Astyanax mexicanus: one gene and its partner. The main gene of each other region encodes a partner of the protein of the gene in region 2 in a complex. Links are inferred from orthologs where the notes say so. Each region holds a gene or a part of one and is shown on either strand. Other genes may lie near its edges.

Region 1 (9,907 bases), on a different chromosome or scaffold from region 2:
TCCACAAACATTGGACATATACTGTACATATACATAATATTATTTAGAATTAAGAATTTCATTATGTGGAACTGATTTTTGTCACATATTAAAATATATTCAACATATATGTGACATACATTTCAGCTATATGTCAAACATTTACGTGTATTAACCTACCAATCAAAAATATCTGATTCAAATATGATATCCAACATATGATACTTGCATACATGTATACAATATATGTAGATGTATCTTGAAAAATAGGCCATATACTTTGAAATATATGTGCACATACCACCACATATGAGATTTTCATATTGGCACCCATCAAGCAAAAAAAAAAAGCAGACGTGCTAACATATGTATGAACATGATCCTGCTGGTCCTGCTGATAATACTTGATACTTAATCCAATGTTTGTTGATAGTCTAAAACACAGAACTGCCCAAACTGTTCTAGTGAAGAATATCAACAGTAAGCATCTGAGTTTCGGTCTTTGATGTGGACTTAATGAAACAGTATACCTTTCTTAACTGTTTTTCTTAATGCTTAACCAGCGGCACGCAAAAACACATGGTCACACTGTTCCTACAGTGGCTAGTATTTGCATTGCAAATGAAACAGTGGAGCAAATCATGGAGGGACTCACCCAGAGAGTTGGAAGATTAGAGTCCTTCTGGTTTAGTAAAGCATTAACCCAGTCAACTCAATGGTGTGTTGGTAGAAAACTTTGCACTCTGCCTGAGAAAAAGAGAGAAAGAGAAGGAGAGAGAGAAGTAAAGAGAGCCAGTATAAGTGTGTGAACCTTTACTGAAACTGTACATATAACAATGCAACCAAATCAATGATATGAGAGAATACAAAAACAGTGTGATAAAAACAAAGTACAGCACAGCAAAAGTTAGCAACAAAAAAAAATAGATTTATGTCTTTAAAGAGAAAATACTCATTTATGTTGATTTATTAAGCAATGGCACATAACATACAATATGTTTGACTTCTTTCCAGGAAGTTTTATTACAAATCTATTGTTAATTGTGCTCTGAAATGATGATAAGCTTTATGTAGGGAACTTCACTTAAAAAATAAGCAGCCAAATATTTAGGTGCAAAAACATTTGCATGAGAAAATGTTTTATATATTAGTTTAACCCCCTTTAAATTGATTACTTTAGCGAACATATGTTGGCCCACTCTTTATTCACTGTTTTTACTCACTGTTATTACTCCATAATATACAATGTGATAGCTACAAAATGGATTTTCTCATTGTAATTGAAGATACATTGAGGATAATGTATGTTTCTGCAACTAAGGACTAAGCATGAAAAAAGAAGAGTTTAAAGAAAAGTGTACTAAAAATGGTAAGTATGGTGTAAAGCAGGGGTTGGGCAATTCCGAACCTGAGGGCCAGATTCCTACACTGTTTGGGCCTTTTTTGTTTAAGTACACCGATTGACTGGTTTTATTGTTTTTTAATGTATTGGCTAGGGCTGTGTATTGGGAAGAACTTGGCGATATAATATACAGGGTTACAATTCAAAGTATCAAAATAATTATTAAATACTGAAAAGGACAATGGAAAACTCATTTTTAACACTCAGTATTAACAAAAATGCCATTATGTTTATAGAACAGAGAAGCATCTCTATCTCAATTCACTCAGTTCAGCTTAACAGGATCCATCATCATTCACAGTAAGCCTCAAAATAACGGTTTCTCAGGAAAGAGTTGGCTGCCACTGCCTAAAAAAACAAGCCAAAAAAACTACTACCCAGAACAAAAAAAAAATCCCCTAACCCATCCTGTTGTTCATTCACTGACCTACCAAACATACATGGGCCGAAATGTATGATTTATTATCATATTTATAAAACTTTAGGCTACATAGGAATATTTCCCAGGCTTAATTCCTTGAGTGCATGTTTATGTTAAGCTGCACAACAGTTTTAGTAAAAATTGACATTTGATGAAAACTTGACCTAAAAATGACCTACTGCTGCGCATATTTTTAATTCTCTTTTTTTTTAACCTTATTTCATTTCAAGATTTATTTAGATTTTACTTTACCGCAGCTAAGTATATAGAAACTAAACAAAGTGAAGTGGAATTTATATAATTAAATCACTGAATTTGGGTCTTAAGTCCTTTGAAAATAAAATAGTGTGAATGTTGTGTAAATATCAGTGATGTCACTGATATGAAAGGTTCCTTTCTTAAAGAGGCCCAGCTTATTGGCAAGATGTGCTTCTCCTCTAAACTCAAAAATAATAACAAATCAATTAGAGCTTTATTTCAGAGAGACAGTGTCTCAGTTCTTAATGTTACATTTTATTGGAACCAATATATATGAGACTTAGAATGGAAAAAGATTTGGATCTTACCTTTTAAATTTCTAGTGATTAATAAAGTAAAGGAAGTTACATTTAAAATACTACATAGGTGATACCCAACAAACCATTATTAAACCAGATTCAAGTTGCTTTTTTTTGTTATGTACACCCAGTAACCCTATTACATGTTTTGACATTGCGAGTTTATTGAAATGTTTTGAAAAAACTTATTGTTATTGATAATATTTGTTATTGATATTTATGTTGATAATGTTAAACATAAGATAGATTAATATTATATCATTAATCTAATTATAATTTTAGCTAAATTTTATTTTCATAAAGGTAAAAAGAGCACCCCGCTGTGTATGCTTTTTAAAATTGAAATTAAAAAGTATATGCAAACTATACTTGGATCAACAAACAGAGCGCCTGCAAAGACTGTAAATATTTGCAAATCCCTAGGGCTATTTTCATAAATGTCCCCCACCCCATTATATATATACGTATATATATATATATATATATATATATATATATATATATATATATATATATATATATATATATATATATATATAAAGAGAACGTTAGAAGAATGTTTAGCAACGTTTTAAAAGAGTTAGCCTAATATGTAATGGTTTGCTTCACAAGGTTATTAGAATGTTTCTCACATAACGTTCCCAGCTAGATTAAATTAACGTAGTAGAAACGTTAAAAGTAACATTCCTAAAACTAACAATTAAAATGTTGACACGTGACTTTGCTAGAACGTTAAAAAAGGTTAAGTAAAGAACATACAAAAAACTAAACGTTCGAAGAACGTTAACTGTAAAATTTACAAAACGTTCAACTAACTTTTTTTTTTTTTAAATAATAGGCTATAATAAAGGATTAATCATCTTAACCAGGGAGCACTGTGGACATGGCAAATAAAAACTCCCTTATATTATTAAAAAAACGGTATAAAATGTACAAAAAAAAACGTTTAAAGTAAAGGTTAACATTCATCTATATTTGTAACAATGTGTTAATTCCAATTACATTGTTACACAGCAACACAGTACACAGTTTTCAATTAAAACATTTTACACATTAAGTTATATTTTTATTATGACCTGCATACTACATACATTTAAAGGCAACAGACTCAGAAATGCTAACTGGCTATCTTTCCCTTTCACACACTTTTTTAGGCTGATGTTGAGCTCTCAAGCAGTTCAAACTTACCCGCCTCAGAGGAAAACAAACGCTCACATCCAAAAGCAGTCCTTCTGCAGCAGAGATATTCACATTTTATACATAAAATCCGAGAAAAAGAGCTAAATGTAGATGATGATAATGATAAGAGACCAGCTACAAAGTTACAAAGTGGTCAGTTCCTCTATTCTCTGAACACAAGGAAGTAAAGCGAAGCTTATAAGAATAGCCTTCATAAAAAGACACGGAAGTGAAGATGCTATCAATGCAAAGTCCTCAAGAAAGCCAGCCAGCTAGGTCTCTGAGGCTACCACACTTTCACCTCCTCACATCACTGTCTCTAACACCCCTCACTAAAGTCTGGAGGAACAGTTCTGAAGCCTCAGGGAGAGTCAGCAGTGTGAAGATGTGAAAATGAAAGCACTTGTTACTGGTCCTCTACTCGCTCTGCTCCAGCCCAAAACTGACCACAACCCCTAGAAAAAGCCTCCTTAAGACCAGCTCCCTTACTTCTGATCCAAAGTTCTCACACAGAACAGGACCCAGCCTCAGCAAACCGCACCGAAAGTGAAGTGACAATGTAAATTTCGAGTCAGTATGGAAACTCACGCTTTACATATCTAACGTCATTTTCCCCATCATTTGCATCCAACTGAACAGAGCGAGACGTGCAAAAGTGGCAAATCCAGGTCCAGAAAGTAAAAATCCGCCGCCAGGACTTTGTTACAACTGCATGGATTGCTCACTAGTGTGCAACCAAGCCTTCCTTTCAAGCAACAAACTCCTGGGGTGGAGTTTTACTTTTTGGAACTAGAAATATTTGCTACCTAGAAGAAAGTAGATGAGAGAATAAGGACAAGAAAGAAGCACGAACAACAAAAAGCAGACAGCATTGTGGTCCCCATGCTGCCCAAATGTGTCTGGAAACTTTGTCAGGTTCAGCACAGACGTGGGAGGTGACATTTCAAAGCATGTAGGCACAAATACAAAACAATGAACATTAACATACTGTAAACTTTTTAAACAATGTGAGCAAAAAAATCAGGCAGGTCAATTTGATAAACTGACTAATTATTTAATTTATTTATATTTTGTAATTTCAGCCATTTTTCACAGAATCAAAAGTAATTAGTGAATCAGACAATTTTCTGTTAGCTTTCTGTTAAACATGGTGGTGGATACATGTGTGGCCGTGGCAATGGACATCAGCTACCTTCAATTAATGTCAGAAATATTGCATTACCAGATTAGGGGACAAACTCGTATTTACCAGTGGGAAAGTCTGGTTTTTGATAAGCCCCAACTTAACATAAAATCAAATGTTGTTTGAAAAGCTAATGCAGTTTAATTTTTGATAGTTTACTCTCATCCAAATATTAGTGCTCTCTGTTGGAATAGATGGGGGGCATTTCTCCAGGGTGTTTGTTTTCTTTCAATCAAAAAGAAAATCCAAAATCGTAAGTATAAGCTTTTAAGGTGGATTTAACGGCAGGATTGGCACTGTATGAAAAGTTCAGATGTAATTCAAGAAATTATCAATATTTAACCCAATCCCATCCAAAATCATTACATTTATTTATTTTTGTGGTCCCTCCAGTTCCACAAGCACATCCTTCTGTTAAACAGTTGAATGAATCTCTGGCTGCCCATGGACTTCCACTTGACTGACTTGTGTCAGTGTTGACTTTTAGCTGATATTCAATGGGTTTGATCACTTCTGTGTGGCGTTGTTCTACTAGCATCTGAACGAAAATGAGCAGAATGCTATGACTCTAAATACTGTTTCTTAAAGAGTTTAACTATAATAGCAGGCACTGTGAAAAATTGTAGTAATTCCTAATGAGGTTATAAAAGTTAATTAATTACAAATCATTAAGGTCGTTATTTTATTGACCAAATATCAATGGGTCTGACTATACATGGCCTTCATCTCAAAGGTGAATTTGTATGCAACAGCAATGCATTATCATTCACAATCCTTTCAGTTCATAATTTTAATCAGTTTCAAAAAGCAGCCAACGCAAAAAGTAAAGCAGTAAAAATAAATTAACAGTTTTATTTTTTTATCAACCAATAAACCACTTCATCACACACAAACTGTAACACTGATTTGCACTGATTTGTATTAGTGTATATTTGAATGTCTTACATACTCGTTATTGATCAGGAACAGGTCAGCATATAACATGTCTTTAGCAGATTCTAGAATTCTTCACATAGCAGGAAACCAGCTCCTCTTTTTATTAATTCAAAATAACTTTTTTCAATCTGCATATATTTGGATATATATATAGCGAAACTTAGCTGCTGTAACCGTCATGAGATCCAATCATTTGATTAAATTATGCAAAATAAATGAGAAAACATCCATCTAAAAGCAGCTCTGCAATAAAAAAGTTTGTTGTCTTTTTTATGTGTTAAATGTATCCCTTAATCCTCTCATTTTTTCAACCTCTACTTCATTTCCTGTGTCTTCCTCTGGCTCTCTGAGGCCTTGGCTGTAGATTTTTTTCCCAGTCATCTCCATGATGGCCTGCAACTCAGGATCCGCATCCAGAATGCTCTTCTTACCCTCATCCTGTAAAGCAACATCCCAACAAACAAAATAATAAATTCTTAATTTTCTGCATTTAGTGTAAAACATCAGTGCCACAAAGTGGATAAATTAACCTCTATATTCATACAAAGTGCTATAGTAGCTAAAACCTCAAATGATAAAATATATTAAAAATACATTTTAAAAAGACATGCTTTTTTTGGAGTAACTGTTTCTACTGTCCAAGGAAAACATTCTACTAGATTTTTTGATTACTAGCACTGCTATGAGGATTTCGTTGTATTTAGCCACAAGAGCAATCAAATTCAATCCACTACTCCACAGCTCAATGCTGGGGGTCTTTACTTGTTTTTTTGCCCCTGAGAGTCCTATTCTATTGCCAATTCTTCAAGCTGTGTATGTGTGTCTGCATTTGCATATCTGTATCCAGAATGGGTGAACTGAGAGAAAAAAAGTATCCACAAACATTTAGTTCATTTGCATCTGAAATTACCAATTAACAGACACTAATGAAGAAATCCAATAATTCTGAATGAGTGTGTCACTACAGATCTGTTGCTGACCTCGTCCTGTTCCTGTTCTGAAGGGGGTATGCCGACCCCCCAAACTTCGACTGTATCCATTGTAAAGTCCTCATCCCCTGAGAGCTGAGGGCTACCGTATGTGGTACAGCTTGGTCGAGCCCGACTGTGACCTTTCCCAAAGTCATAGTCCAGCCACAGTCCGAAGTACCCGTGCTGTCCACCCATACCCTGAGACAAGACAATGAGGAAAGGGTATAGTTCAGAGAAGACCATCTATCATCCTACCATCCATCAACTTCAACAGATCTATCTAGTACTTGAACCTAGTAATAAAAAGTAACAAAAAATGCAAAAGACACAGAAAATTGTATGATTGTATAATTAATAGATAGTTGCAGTACAATGTTCATTATCAGTGTTATCATAATTAATATTGTTGTTACTTAATACAACAAGAATGATTCATTGTTATAGAATCTACAAGGATGTATTGTCTCACCAGGCCATTGGGCATGGTGTGCTGGCCCAGGTTCATGTACATGTAGTGCTGGTTATACCCTGTGCATGTGAAAACTCGCATGGATGGGAACACAGAGAACAGGAAGCACCTGGAATCACCTGGTCAGAAGTGATAAGCATCAGACCTGGCACAATAAAAAGGCGAATATGCAAAAAAAACATGTTTTAATTTCTTCTGTTTCCTCCTCATCACTTACCCTGAAACTGGGGTTTAATCTCCCAGCTGTGAGAAGCAAAGCCTCCGAATATGTGGCCCTTGGTGTCTTTCACCAGAATAACAGTGGGGCCTTGACTTTTGCAGTTTCCAACCAGGCGGGTAAAGCTTTCCCCATGTACGTTTGTTGAGAACAGCAACCTCCAGGGAGCTTTGTGTCCTTCAGGCATCTGAGGGCTCAAGAACATGAGAAGAGGTAGATCTAGCAAACACCGGAGCGCACTCCAGGGAGCATCTCGACACTGCGGCAGCAGAAGAGGCGGTGTACACGAAGTCAACCCAACCTCAAGACCCTCACCAATCAGGAGCTCCAGAAATACAGCGACTCCTGAGACTCGGAAAAGCCAGTCCTCTACACAAGCGACATCACACGTATTCTGATCTATAGGGCAAAAAGAGGGGGTTCAGTCAGAGACTGTAAAATGTGTTTTCAAGTGTTTTGATTCAAACAAACTAGAGTTTTGAATAGGCACATGATCAAAGTATTACTTACAAACTGTGCTTTAACTACTTCCTGCCTAAACCTTCAATTTAGCAGGAATGTTCCAAATCAGACACTATCACACAGTGTATTAATACTAATCACCACTAAAACTGCATTTAAAAGTTCCATTGTCTCAGTAAAGATGTTTTCCTAGCAAAAAGACAAACCCCTTCTAACAGCCTTCTGTCACACATACATCCTACATCACACAAGCTGAAGAGCGCAAAGCAAACCAGGAATAAAATGCATCACAATGCTCATGACAGAATGAACCAAACTACTAAATATAAACACACTAAGAGTGTCTGTCTGCACTTCGTAGCTCCTCTTCTGGCCTTAAAAGCTACCTCACATTGCTTTGTCATATTTTTATGAGAATTTCTTTTTTTTTACATCATAAATGACCTACAAATGTAGTTTCCCATACATTCTATTAATTCTGCTGCCCACACACCTCCTATAGCGGTTGGGTCATTTTTCTCCACACATTTCCCAACACAGTACCACCAGTCATCACCGGTATTTAAATCTGATCATTGTGTTTCCTTGTGACGTTCACATTTCCCAACCCACTCAATCATTTAAGGAGCAGTATGACATCTTACACGTCTTGATGGCATATTGGGTAATGTTTGTGGTGCAAAAAAAAGGAGGGGTCGATTCCTTCAAACATATCCAGAACAGCTGCTTAACATGAGTTTATGACACATGAATAAGTGTATGAGCAATTTGAAGTTTTGAAGTTTTAATGTTGGCACAGTATAATTACTTGTTAGAAAGTTAATTATTAAAAGACTAAATTATAAACTTTATGTAGATGTCAACTAGGAGAACCACTAAACAGACACTTCTCTGGACCTCAGTCCAATATTTGTCAACTGTAATTATTTAGCCGGACATCACATAAAAACAATTTTAGGTTTCTGCTGAATGAAATTAGTGAAACTATAAAAAACAATAATGATATTCATAGCTCAAATAAATCACAACCAGATTAGAGTGAGCTGCTTTTTTGTAAACGCAGAAATAATTTCAGTTTAATAAATAAATATTAATATCTGATTATTTGTCAAAGGGGAGTACATCTGCAAAGAGTTACAACACGTTACAACATTTATTACTTAAATTAAAACACTCTTTAATTTTTGTTTTAGGTCATGTTATGCTTTGTTGGAATGTCTGTTTGTTGTGTCTTTGCTTTTCTTTGAAAAGGTAGATGAAATGACATTTATCCAGTTTAGTTCAAAGATTAAAGGATTCAATGCTTTGAAGGATTCAAGTATATGAATTGATGAAAAAAATGGCAAAATGTAACAAAACCGGCAAAACTGCCTTTGGCCTAACTGTCTTTTGTTCTGTTTTGGTTTTAGATAAAAATCTCTCACTTAAATTCTTAAAAGTCAGGTACCTCTGCAGTTTGCTATGACCATACTTAGAAGAAAACAATCTACATTAACCATCATAGTGTGAGCAGTTTTATTACACTGGATTAGTCACTAGGTGTGGGTGATCATTGTAGTATTTTAAAATTAATCATAAAGAATCAAATCAAAGTGAAATCACTAACCTGAGGGTTTTATGTCAGAGCTCAGGTGCTCAGCCAAAAGCTTCACCCCCTGAGATCCATTACCCATGCGGTCTGGTCTCCAGCCTCGGAGTCGCCCCCTGTGCGTGAGAGTCTGAACTACAGCCGAAATCAAGTCCTCCAAGAACTGCAAAAAAAGTGTTAGTGTTAATTTTTTTTGCTATGATGGTCTTCTAAAAAAAAATTGACTGCTTTTAACTGACTAAGGCTCACATTATTCCTTTATTTATAAGTCTCATATCTCCCACTGCTGTTGACCAGAGGATTCTGGGTTCCTCTTTTAAATCTTGGTTCCTCCGATCCTCTTACTGTGCTCGAACCAGACATTTTTTTGTTAGTTGCTTTTGTCCCTGATTTGTAAAGCATATTGTTTGAAAAATTATAAAAATAACATTTTCCAGTTTCCAGTTTCATGTAGGTTGGTTTCCAAAACAGTTAAAATTACTACATTTACTTTTAACCCAGTTTTAATATAGTTTGCTACTCTACGTTTCCCCAGTATTGTGC
Region 2 (10,865 bases):
ATCCTCAGGGAGGGGGGGCGGGGGTTGAACAATTAATCTGCCAATTGAACTAATCACGGAACTGAAAAACCTGTAAAAACAACCATTCCATACTGACTTCCATATGACCAACATACATAAAAAAAACATCATATTTAACTAAATCACAATATTCCTGATTTTAGTAATACTAGTATGCAGCTAAACCAGTTAAATTAGGATTTTATAAATACACAAAAGCCTTGTATATAATACTGTACATATAGAGGTGCGAAATATGATTATATTTTATCGTTATATTTATACATGTTGTTAATGTAACACACAATATAGATTTCAGAGCAAATCAGTACTATTACCAGAATGTTAGATCATTTAATCATTTGTGTAATATATTTAATTAAATGAAGCATTCAACATTACTTTTCATGCTTACTATCCGCTTATTTGGTTTACCCCTTTGACAAACTTGCTGTTGTCCGAATGATAGATATGAGCTGGACAGGGCAGTAGAGGGATGCCATCTGAATTTGTGTGTTTCTTTACCAGCTAGCTAGCTAAAAGAAACTAGGGCAGAACTGCTAAAGTAAATTCATTAGTTCAGAAAAAAACTGCTGAGGTGAATGTATTGTACCTTCGTAAAAAAATATTAGGTGTTCACGACTTTAAACGGTGGTTTACTCAATGTTTAAAACCTGTGGGGAAAATGTTCATTTTAAAGGCCCAAAGTACATTCCAAAGCAGTAAAAAAAAAAATCACACTGATAAGAAATGCTTTGGAAACTAGTTGAGCTGATAAAGGAACAATCAATTCATTTATTTCCATAATTACTTCCACAAATTATGCATATTTTTAATGGCAACACCTATGCATATATGGTACATACTCTCTCAACATTCAGTGCTGTTTTGCATCAGATTTCAGGTCAAGTCTGTGCATGCTGCAGCAAGCCTGCCTTCCACTATTCAAACTGCCCTGCTCTGCTTTCCAGACACATCCACAATACCAGCCACAAGGTGGAAATTGACCATGAACGCTTTTACTTTGAATTACAATGGCCACTTATCGGCAGGGAGAGTTTTTGGGGAAGCGGAATTAGATCTGGGAACTGGGGGGAGGGGGCATACGTGAATGAGAGCAAGCAAGTGTGTTTCAGGAATGGAGAGAAGCTTTAATAGAAGGCACACAGAAATGCTTGGAAATGCATTCTCACTGAATGCTGTGAAATTCATAAGGACACTCTTAAAAATAAAGGTGCAACCAAGGGTCCTTCATGCCATAGTAGAACCACATTTGTTTCCATAAGAAGTAAAAGAATATATAAATATACTTTCTCTTTGATTCCTCATGCAAAAAAAAAAAGTTATTCTAATGCAAGAACCCTTTGCAGCTAGAAGCATTGTTTTTAAGCATGTTCAAGAGCTCAGGTGGAAACTTGCCTTTCAAGAGAAGTAAAAACACAAGAAAGATGATTCTTTTGCCAAAAATCTGAGTTCACATTTTAGGAAGATAATGCAAATTATGAACAAATCAATGCTGCTCTTATAGAGAAAGTAAGGTTTAGTCGACTAAAGCAAAGTTTAGGGAGTTAACTTAGTCTATTCACTTTTTCTCTGCCATGTAAATGCTAAAACTGTGACTTCTGTCTGGGTGGAAAAGGCAAACAGTTTGCAAAAAGATGATTTTCCTTTAGCTTGAGAAGAAGGAAAGAAGGAAAAGTAAATAACCCATGCACTCCCACTAAACACACACCAGCCCCAGTGTCTCCCCAGAGTATACACTCCCATATTATCATTCAACTGTGGTATTCAAAACTGCGTTCCCGTAAAATGTTGCTGTTTATCCAGTGACCACCCTAGAACAAGCCTGGATTTTCAAATCCAAAAGGCCTAAATAACAGATTAAAAAGAAATAACATAGACATACAGATAAAAACAAATTACTTTTGCCTAGTGTTCAGAAGCCCAGCAGATTTGTTTTTTTTTCGCCTGAACTATGCAAATGGAATAAAACAAAAAGAAAAATATCTTTAATATGGTATAGTCTGACTGTACAATATTTGTGTGTTTTGTTAGCAGATGTTAAAGGTTTATGAAGGAACAAGGCTAAGGCTACACTTAAGGCTTACACTCAAGACTTCTGGAAGCACATAGATATGGAAACTTTGGCCTGATTTAGACACATTTATAGCTAAACATTTTTAAAACATATGCATAATCTCTGTAACTCATTTATTTATGTAGCGTTTTAAACACAGTACCACGCATGACAGTCACAATGCAGACATTTATTAAATTAACCAAGCATAACAGGTTAAAATAAATTAAAATATAAACAGATGTCAGTGAAATCTAAGCCTAAGACTATTCATTGATTACCTTTATGCTAACATTACCAATCTGATTAGTATACTATTGCACATTCCTAACAAACAGCAAAATGCACACTTAAAAGTGCACACTTAAAACGGTTAAACATCTTCAACCTTAATATTCTCTACACTATCTACAGCGCTGGATGTCTAAAACCCTTTTCAGACACAAAACACTAGATTCAACCCTTTTAAAACAGCACAGCTAACCTAGCTAAAGCTCAACAACGTGCCAAATGGTAGCTAGTGAACTAACGTTAATGATGAGAAGTTTATCTTAACCTAGCTATCGAGTCTGTTTACCGATCCGACTCATCCAAACCGCTCCGTTTGAATAATTTGAGTGACTAATTAAACAATTTGCTGATTCACATCTGAGTTTCTTCGTTTTTGCTTCTTTTCCATTAAATATTAGTAACTCGAACTCGATAGTATCCCTTAGTCGCATCGCATGTAGTGTCATTAGCAGCGCCATTTGACGAGTGACTCGTCTGAGTCACCAAGAATGATTCAGAAAGTAACTCTGAGTCACTTGATTCTGTGCAATCAAGCGTTTTATGCTGCAAATGCATGAATGAACAACTTTTAATCTTTATTTGATTGCATAATGTGTCATGTTTAAAAACCTAAACGTGTAAGTAAAAGGAAATCTGAGCCGATTCGTGTGAACGACTCGCAAAAAAGAACCGATTCGCAGAATTATCCAGCTATTGAACTGTGCTGCGCTCCAGCTGCGCGCCGTCAACTCTCTCAACTAGTTAACCAAACGCCTTCAGCCATTTGTTCCTGCAACACGCTGACTTTTCAACAGTTTTAGGCTTAGTATTTTCTCACTATTCTTAGTATTTTAATAGTATTGTTTTGTGGCAACCTTTCTCTCTGCTCACGTATTGAACACAGATGCTAGTCATTAAGAACAGCGTAAACTAGCAACTAGTTAGCTAGCTAACTAACGTGATATTTAGCTAAAAAGAGATTAGCTAGTTAGCTAACCCTAATAGTCCTACTAGTTCCTACTAAGTTAACGTTACACCCCGGTTTGTTGTTATTTGCACATCATGCCATGTTTCAACACTGTAAACATAAGCAAAAAAAAGATAGAAAAACAACCATACACAGATTTAAATCGTGAAAAACTCTCTTAGGTGGACTTTGGTAAAGCTAACTAGGTTACTCACATTTTAGCTAACTAAGTTAGTTAGTTGACAGAATCTGCAGCACTGGATGTTAACTAAGTTACATAGGTCAAGCAGGTTATACAAAAATAAAATAAAGCCACCTTTCTCCCTGTTCACTCATTAAATACAGATGCTACTCATTGAGAAAATGGATAGCCTAGCTACTAGCTTGCTAATTTAGGTAATGTTTAAAAATATTCGTTTACCTAGCTAGCTAGATTATAGTCCTATCCAGTGCTTAACATAAAACACTAACCTAGCCACAATACAGCACTTGCAGCATTAGCCTATTTAAGATATTAAAATGGTGAAGTGAGATACAAACTATTATTAACCTGGTAAGTCTAACTTAAAAGGTGCAACCAAGGGTTCGTTTTTGTAAATGAACTAAAAGAATATTTAAAAGATTCTAACTTTGCATAGTCTAGGAAGATAATGCACATTATGAACATATCAATGCAGATAGATAGATAGATAGATAGATAGATAGATAGATAGATAGATAGATAGATAGATAGATAGATAGAACACTTGAAGCATTAGCTAACTAAGTTAAGCTACTAAAATGCTGAAGTGAGAATAAAAAAAAATCGTTCATCTAGTTAATCTAATTTAGGTTAGTTGAGTAACTACAACCAGATGTGTTATTTGCACGGCATGCCATGTTTCAGTACTGTAAACATCAACAAAACAAGCTAGAAAAACAGCCAAACTCAGATTTAAACAGTGAAAATGTATCTTAGGTGAACTTAGGTGGTATGTTACTCACCTTTTAGCTCCAGTGAGGGTTGTATTCAACGCGGAGAGGAAAAAAGTTCGTTCCGAGATTTAAAAAACTTTTTCGGGCTGTTAATAAAGAAAGTTCTTTTTGATATTCTTCTTCTTCTTTAGTCGATCCTAACGTTACACAAAAATCTCCTCTTTCTCCTCCAGCGCTGTCTGTGTAAGTTATCGCTTGCTGTTTAAGTTTGGGGTTCCTGCGCTTTAAAAACGACACCAACACACACAAACTCGCCTCGCGTCTCGGCTGCAAGTGCTCTCCTTTTCCACGATCACCGCAAACCACTCCAAAACGATCTTACCGTCAATCCAAAAACACGTAAGACTTTTTTTTTTTTATATAAAAGGTAAGATACAAATCTTACGTAAATGTCCGGCAGAGTCGGTGCCTTTCTGGCGAAGAAAATTTCCACCCGGGTTCTTTTTGTTTAGGACGGAGGTCTGGTCGAAGGAAAAGTGGAAGGGGGGAGGAAAAAAAACTTTTACCGCTTCTCCGCTCAGTAATCCTCCGACTAAAACGCCTAGACTCGAACTACAGACCGTCCTAAACGAGCCTGATCCCCGCAGACTGAGTTTGTAGGTCTGGTCGGGCTGATATTACCGTGATCCTCTGCATCCCTCACTCGCTCGCGCTCTCTCGGCCTCCCACACCAGAGGATACAGAGAAGACCAGATTCCGGAGTCATGCGTGGAGCTGCTTCACTACCTACGATGGAGCGCGCGCGCGCGCACTCACTCACTCACACAAACACACACACACACACACACACACACTCACACTCACACTCAACACACACTCGCTTACATCACTGGGTTTGAAACCTGGCTCCCCCCTCTGCCATTCACAACACCTCAGGACTCTCCATTGGTTCTGTTGCATTGTGGGAGTGTAGTTCTTTTCCCAAGAAGGATAAATAAACCTGATTAGCCCTTCTAAAATAGCTCTTAATTGTTTATTTTTATGTCTTATATGTATAGACTAGAAATGTACTTTTATGTTTATCCTACATAAAAACCTCCTCCTCCTTCAGTGCTGTCTGTGTAAGTTATCGCCTGCTGTTCGGGTCTGTTCGAGTTTGAGGTTCCTTTAAAAAGCGACACCAAACAACAAACTCGCCTCGCATCTTTGTATATTCTAATTTATTTAGAACTTTGAGGTGGTGAAATTTGCTGCTGAAAAAACTTGCTTCACAAAAAACTTAAGCTTTTTAGATTTAAACATTCAGACCTATACATTTCTTGAAAAAAGAATTATCTTATTTTTGTTATCTGAAATTCAAAAGCTGTGATTTTCAAGCGATTTCACTGTCGCAAACAAATTTCCAGTGTCGGGATAAAAACGTCTTGCTACAGTCGAGTTGCGTGTGTCTTATCTTGATCCTTCAGTTTAAGGTGGTTATGATTGAACGTTCAGATAAAATCAACCGTGTTTAATATTATAGTCTTGAGTCTCGAGATTTGGTTCATGCAAATAGTGATGTGGAGTGTCTCTTTCTGACGTGTCTTCCTATTTATACCACAACAGTGGAGAAAGAAGAAAACGTGGAAAGAACTTGCTGAATTATAATAATAATAAAAAAAAAAATCTACTTCCTGTCTTGCAAATAGTGACCCTGCAAGATCCCCAATCTTTGCAAAATCTTAGTCTCTGACTAGTCTGTGACTAAAAGGTCTGTGACTTGTCTTTATATGTGAGAAGGTTTAAGACTTCGGTCTATCAAAAGTCTTTTCAGAGTCTTTTCAAAGTTGTCTAGTGTATGATTAGCATAACGAAAGTTCAAGATAATACACATGAACCCTTTACCTTTCTGAAATGATTAGCTGAGTAATATAACAATGTAAAATATTCATTTTCTGTTGTGTTTTTTTTGTGTGATGTCATTGCTTTGGGGTACTTTACAAATCAATATGCTTAGTGGCTGGCTCTTTAGACAAGCACCTGAATGAAGTAAAGTTATATTTCAATTTTATTCATTACCTTATATTTTTATGTTAAATATATTTGTTACATTTTGACTAAATTTCAATATGATACGATTGTAAAAATGGTCCAAAATAACTGGATTTTATATGCTGACTTTTATTAAAATGAATGAGTTTTTACTCCTGTAAAGTTACTTCTATAAAAATGCAAATTAAGTGTTAACATGACAAAGAAGTGAAGTGTTATGTTCTGCTTTGGTGCAAAATGTAGGCTAGTCAATCAGGCTAATGATGATTGGCTAACAAACACTGCAAGTAAGTAGTTACCAAATCTTTCTATTAAAATCATGTCCACGCACGTCTCTAAAGCCACTCAAACCACTCAAACCATGTCCACATTTTCATTAATGTTGCCCAGACTTGTTGACTTGTATATTGTATAGTAATAGCCTAGCACTGGTTCTATATGCTAACCAAGCTAAACATGGACACAAAAAAGACTGGATTTATGAACATACATCTGAGCTAAGTTGGAATAATACTGACACGTTTCTTATTCTTATCAATATAGGAATAGTTTCGCTTATAAGCTAATTAATACGATTTATCATTTATTCCAGGTGCTATACATGTAGTAACACGCTACCTTAGCTTAGAGTGGGGAATGCTAGACTAATGTTACAAATAGAACCCTGGACCTGGACTATCCAATCTCCAATCTCCAATCTCATCTCTGTATATACATAAAACATTTTCTTTTGTTTAAATAATGTATTGAAATGTAATTGTAATTATAATGTCCAATTCAACAAACAAAAATCTAGTAAAACAATACAAAGAGACACATTTTTAACATTTTAACTTTACTCAAATATCTGATCTTGTTAAACTGTGCAGAAAAAGTTCATTTGCATTTTTATAGAGTACATAATTCAAAACTTGTTCTGAACCCCATATATGTTTCTGTGCCAAACAACCGGGGAGCTGGAAGATTTTGTAGTAGGTTCAGAGACAGAGACATGATTGGGCACATACAGTTCTGAAAAAAAATTAAGAGAGCACTTCAGTTTCTGAATCAGTTTCTCTAATTTTGCTATTTAAAGGTATATGTTTGAGTAAAATGAACATTGTTGTTTTATTTTATACACTATGAAATTTCTCCCAAATTCCAAATAAAAAATATTGTCTTTTAGAGCATTTATTTGCAGAATAATGCAGAGCTTTCGGACCTCAAATAATGCAAAAGAAAACAAGTTCATATTCAAAAAGTTTTAAGAGTTCAGAAATCAATATTTGGTGTAATAACCCTGGTTTTTAATCACAAGTTCCCTCCAGAATCACAGTTCTTCTCCACCAGTCTTACATACTGCTTTTGGATAACTTAATGCCATTCCTGGCAGGCAGCCAAGTTCACCTTGGTTTGATGGCTGCTGATCATCCGTCTTCCTCTTGATATTCCAGAGGTTTCCAATTTGGTAAAATCAAAGGACTCATCATTTGTAAGTGGTCTATTTTTTTCCAGAGCTGTATATACAGTAATGAGATTTACAGTCTTTTCCCATTGTTAGAAATTTGATGGGGACAGCATTAATTGTAAATACTAATCAAAGTATTATTATTAAAAGTTATTAAAGTTGTAAATTTGACTACTGTAACTACCACTACAACTGAATAACCAAATATGTGAGGTAACATAGCTTATAAACTCCTTCAAGGATATAAGTCATTTCAAACATGTTTTCATCAACCCTATCAATGCAAACAGTGGTAGTCTGCAGCCGTCTACTCGTGTATTTTTTCCGGGTTCCACTTAGGTTTCTTAACTTACTAGTTAATGTCTGTTTGTGCCTATAGGTGGATGTAGGGCATTGCTTTTGTGCTTTACAAATGCTGGATGAAATGTAAGCTGGTCCCCATTTTTCTGAAGCCCATCATTCCATATATAAGACGTTAAAATTATTAGAATATCCTAAAATCAAGTACTTTTTACTTTATATATGTATCAACTTTTAAAAAATACTAAACTTTGAATCTTTTCCATTTTTAATGGACATGGAATTTTATCCAGTAATTGAGGAAACCACAGGCATATTTCCACACTAAACACTTCTTCCTCACTTTTGATCTTCCAGAGGAATACCTTGGGGAGGATTTGGGTGTGTCCAGACGTGCAGTCTGCTAAACTACTACTGGGCCGTGACTAACAGGGCTTTTCCCCAAAGTCAAGTTAGCAGCATTCTGATTTCCGGGATAAAAAGCCACGTTTATTTATTCAGAGCAATTAAACTTGTTGTGAACTTGTACAGAAATAGCAGACTTTGCTAGCTGAAACAATGAGTGCTATTAAATACATACAATCTTGATAACAGCAGATAATTACAAGCACTTTAACAAGCAACTAATTTGATTACTTAGCTAAAATAATAGTCTCTTTATTGTTATTCTTTTAATAATAAAAATATAAGAACTGGTGGCATGATCATTCGGGTTTGAACTAGCTTTTTTGTTAAGCAAAAATGTTCTCTTTTTGTTTCACTTTTTACATAATGTGAATCTTGTTGTTCAGTATAATTTTACACTGACTTGCAGTAAAAATAAAATATTTCTTTTTAAAAAGAAGCTAACACACAAGATTGTTGTTACATATTTTACAATACAAAATAATAATTGTATTCATTTTGTTCCCAATGTCTTAATGTAATTATTTTTCCAAAGCCTGGGGACATATACAATTTTTGTTGTTGTTGTTTTCGCGGGTTGTATTTAACAATGTAAAAACCCCTTCAGAGATGTAGCAATAACATGAGTGAGTTCCAGTAACAGGAATGAGTTCCTTTAACAGGAGTATTTTTTTTGTCATAAATATCAATTATTTGAACATGAAGTAAACCATTTCTTTAAAATAAACACTTTCTTGAGAGAAAATCAAAGGAATAAGTGGACTTGCATTTAAACATGCTTTTTAAATGTCACATGAGTTTGTAACCATTTTCGGATTAGAAACCTTGTAAAAATTAAGTAAAGCTGCCTGAGTTTGACCCATACATGTTTTGAATAGTTAAATAAGTGTGTTATTAGATTCAGAGTTGAAAAAAGATATATAAAAAAAATTATTTTATTTGGAAGAGTTAGAACAAGCCAATGTCAATGAAATATACTTAACACTCAATGTTGGAAAGATTAAATTAAACAAACATATTTCAACAAAACCTCACTGTGATTATCTTACAATGATTCTTTTTTTACACGTTTAAATATCCATTGTTAAAGTTTTCAGAAGGAAAAATGTGATTAATCTTGTAGTTTGTGAGCAATCAGTATTATTATTCGATGTGGAAACCTGGTCACTTATCTCCAGTCTGCTTTAAACTGAAGTTACTACTTTTATCTTTAACTTTAATCCCAATTTTAACCCAGATTTCCAGCTGTGGTGAGTCAGTGCTAGTTGGCTCTGGTCTTCAGACTCTGGTTCAGTCAAAGCTAGTCGTGAAAGTGTAGTGTATGAGGAGACGAGACTCAATTTTTAGCCTCAAAATCACATCCGCACACACATCAGTCGCAAGAACTCAAGCATTTTGATTTTGGGTGGGACTAGGTAGTGTGAACTTAAGTCTAAACAGACTCTATCAGCAGCCAATGAAAACAGACCTTAAAAAGTAATTACAGCCTTTATAAAAATATTCTAATTTTGCATTCCATCATATTGACCAGATTCTATAAAAGATTAACAACAGTTGTGTAGTGTGATAGTAGTGTAATCTGTTTAAAATCTGCTCCACCTTTAAAAGTTGTGTAGCGTAACCAAGATTTTATAGTGGAAGCTTCCAGTAACACAAGTAGCACATAGAAAAATATGCCAACACTTATGTTGACGTTGCAACCAGTTATCTACGCAAACGCACAAACTGTCAAACTGCAAGTATATCTCTGACTTTAGAGAAACTCCAAAACTCACACTGAAACGCAGCATGATATGGAGTGAGTTAGAATTTCCATTTTACACTGAACTTACCCCTAAACTTTTACAAGAGACAAAATGGGTTAAACTGCTATATGTCAAACATAAAAGGAACATATGAGTTAAAGAACTTTTACAATGGCAAGCAGGTATATGTTTGCACTGTTTTCATTGTTTGCACCAGCTCATGTGGACTTTTCAAAAAATCAAGTTCCTTTTGCCGCATGCGGGTGTGTTAATCGGCAAAGCCAGCTAGAATGCTGGCTAATCTAGCAAGCTACTTATTGAGCCACCCGCTACTTTCTTCCATGCATAATTTTTATTTAAATTGTCCCTGTATTTGTGTGAACACACATTATAAAAGCAGGAAAAGAAAAAACAGCAGCTATATATGAAACTCTTTTCCATGTTCAGAACCACACTGCAGATTACAGGAAAGAAATGCTGTAGGAACCAACACTTCAGAGAGTAGAGGCTGGAGCATTGAACCCCTGTGTATGTGATTTGTTAGAAGAATTGTTAGAAGAAGTTGGGTCAGTTGTTGTAGAATGCCACTCCACAGTGTGATTATTAATTCGTATGAAGGTACAATAGAAATCTCAACTCGATTTGTCGCTCTGTTGCCGAGCCGTGTGCTGCCTGTCACTAATTCACGACTACAGATTATCTCTTAAA

What was found. The genes of interacting proteins can lie anywhere in the genome.
Region 1: the proteins of fgfr1a (region 2) and plcg2 are in contact, whole or in part, in a cryo-EM structure (PDB 8JQI), measured with the Homo sapiens proteins. The link is inferred for Astyanax mexicanus from reciprocal best matches to the Homo sapiens genes FGFR1 and PLCG2. Residues at the interface, in NP_075598.2 of Homo sapiens: Lys504, Asn506, His541, Lys542, Lys598, Ser602, Tyr605, Gln606, Arg609, Glu612, Tyr613, Ser616, Lys617, Lys748, Asp755, Arg756, Val758, Ser762, Gln764, Glu765, Tyr766, Leu767, Asp768, Leu769; in NP_001412678.1 of Homo sapiens: Phe528, Arg540, Thr568, Phe569, Pro570, Asn571, Phe577, His585, Cys586, Arg587, Arg589, Ser590, Thr591, Met592, Gly595, Leu601, Thr602, Asn604, Leu622, Arg623, Cys624, Ala625, Glu626, Phe627, Glu738.

What each region holds. Positions count from the first base shown.
Region 1 is NC_064416.1:17,442,005-17,451,911, forward strand, and holds the start of plcg2 (1-phosphatidylinositol 4,5-bisphosphate phosphodiesterase gamma-2), read right to left. Parts: upstream 4,113-9,907; 5' UTR 4,028-4,112; intron 4,008-4,027; exon of another isoform or gene 3,592-4,007; 5' UTR 3,548-3,591; intron 727-3,547; 5' UTR 635-726; intron 1-634. Other genes in the region: MTOR-associated protein MEAK7, read right to left, coding at 5,928-6,095, 6,638-6,826, 7,098-7,216, 7,315-7,713, 9,383-9,527. UniProt on the Homo sapiens protein: The production of the second messenger molecules diacylglycerol (DAG) and inositol 1,4,5-trisphosphate (IP3) is mediated by activated phosphatidylinositol-specific phospholipase C enzymes. It is a crucial enzyme in transmembrane signaling.
Region 2 is NC_064419.1:25,848,476-25,859,340, reverse strand, and holds the start of fgfr1a (fibroblast growth factor receptor 1-A), read right to left. Parts: upstream 5,063-10,865; 5' UTR 4,299-5,062; intron 1-4,298. UniProt on the Homo sapiens protein: Tyrosine-protein kinase that acts as a cell-surface receptor for fibroblast growth factors and plays an essential role in the regulation of embryonic development, cell proliferation, differentiation and migration.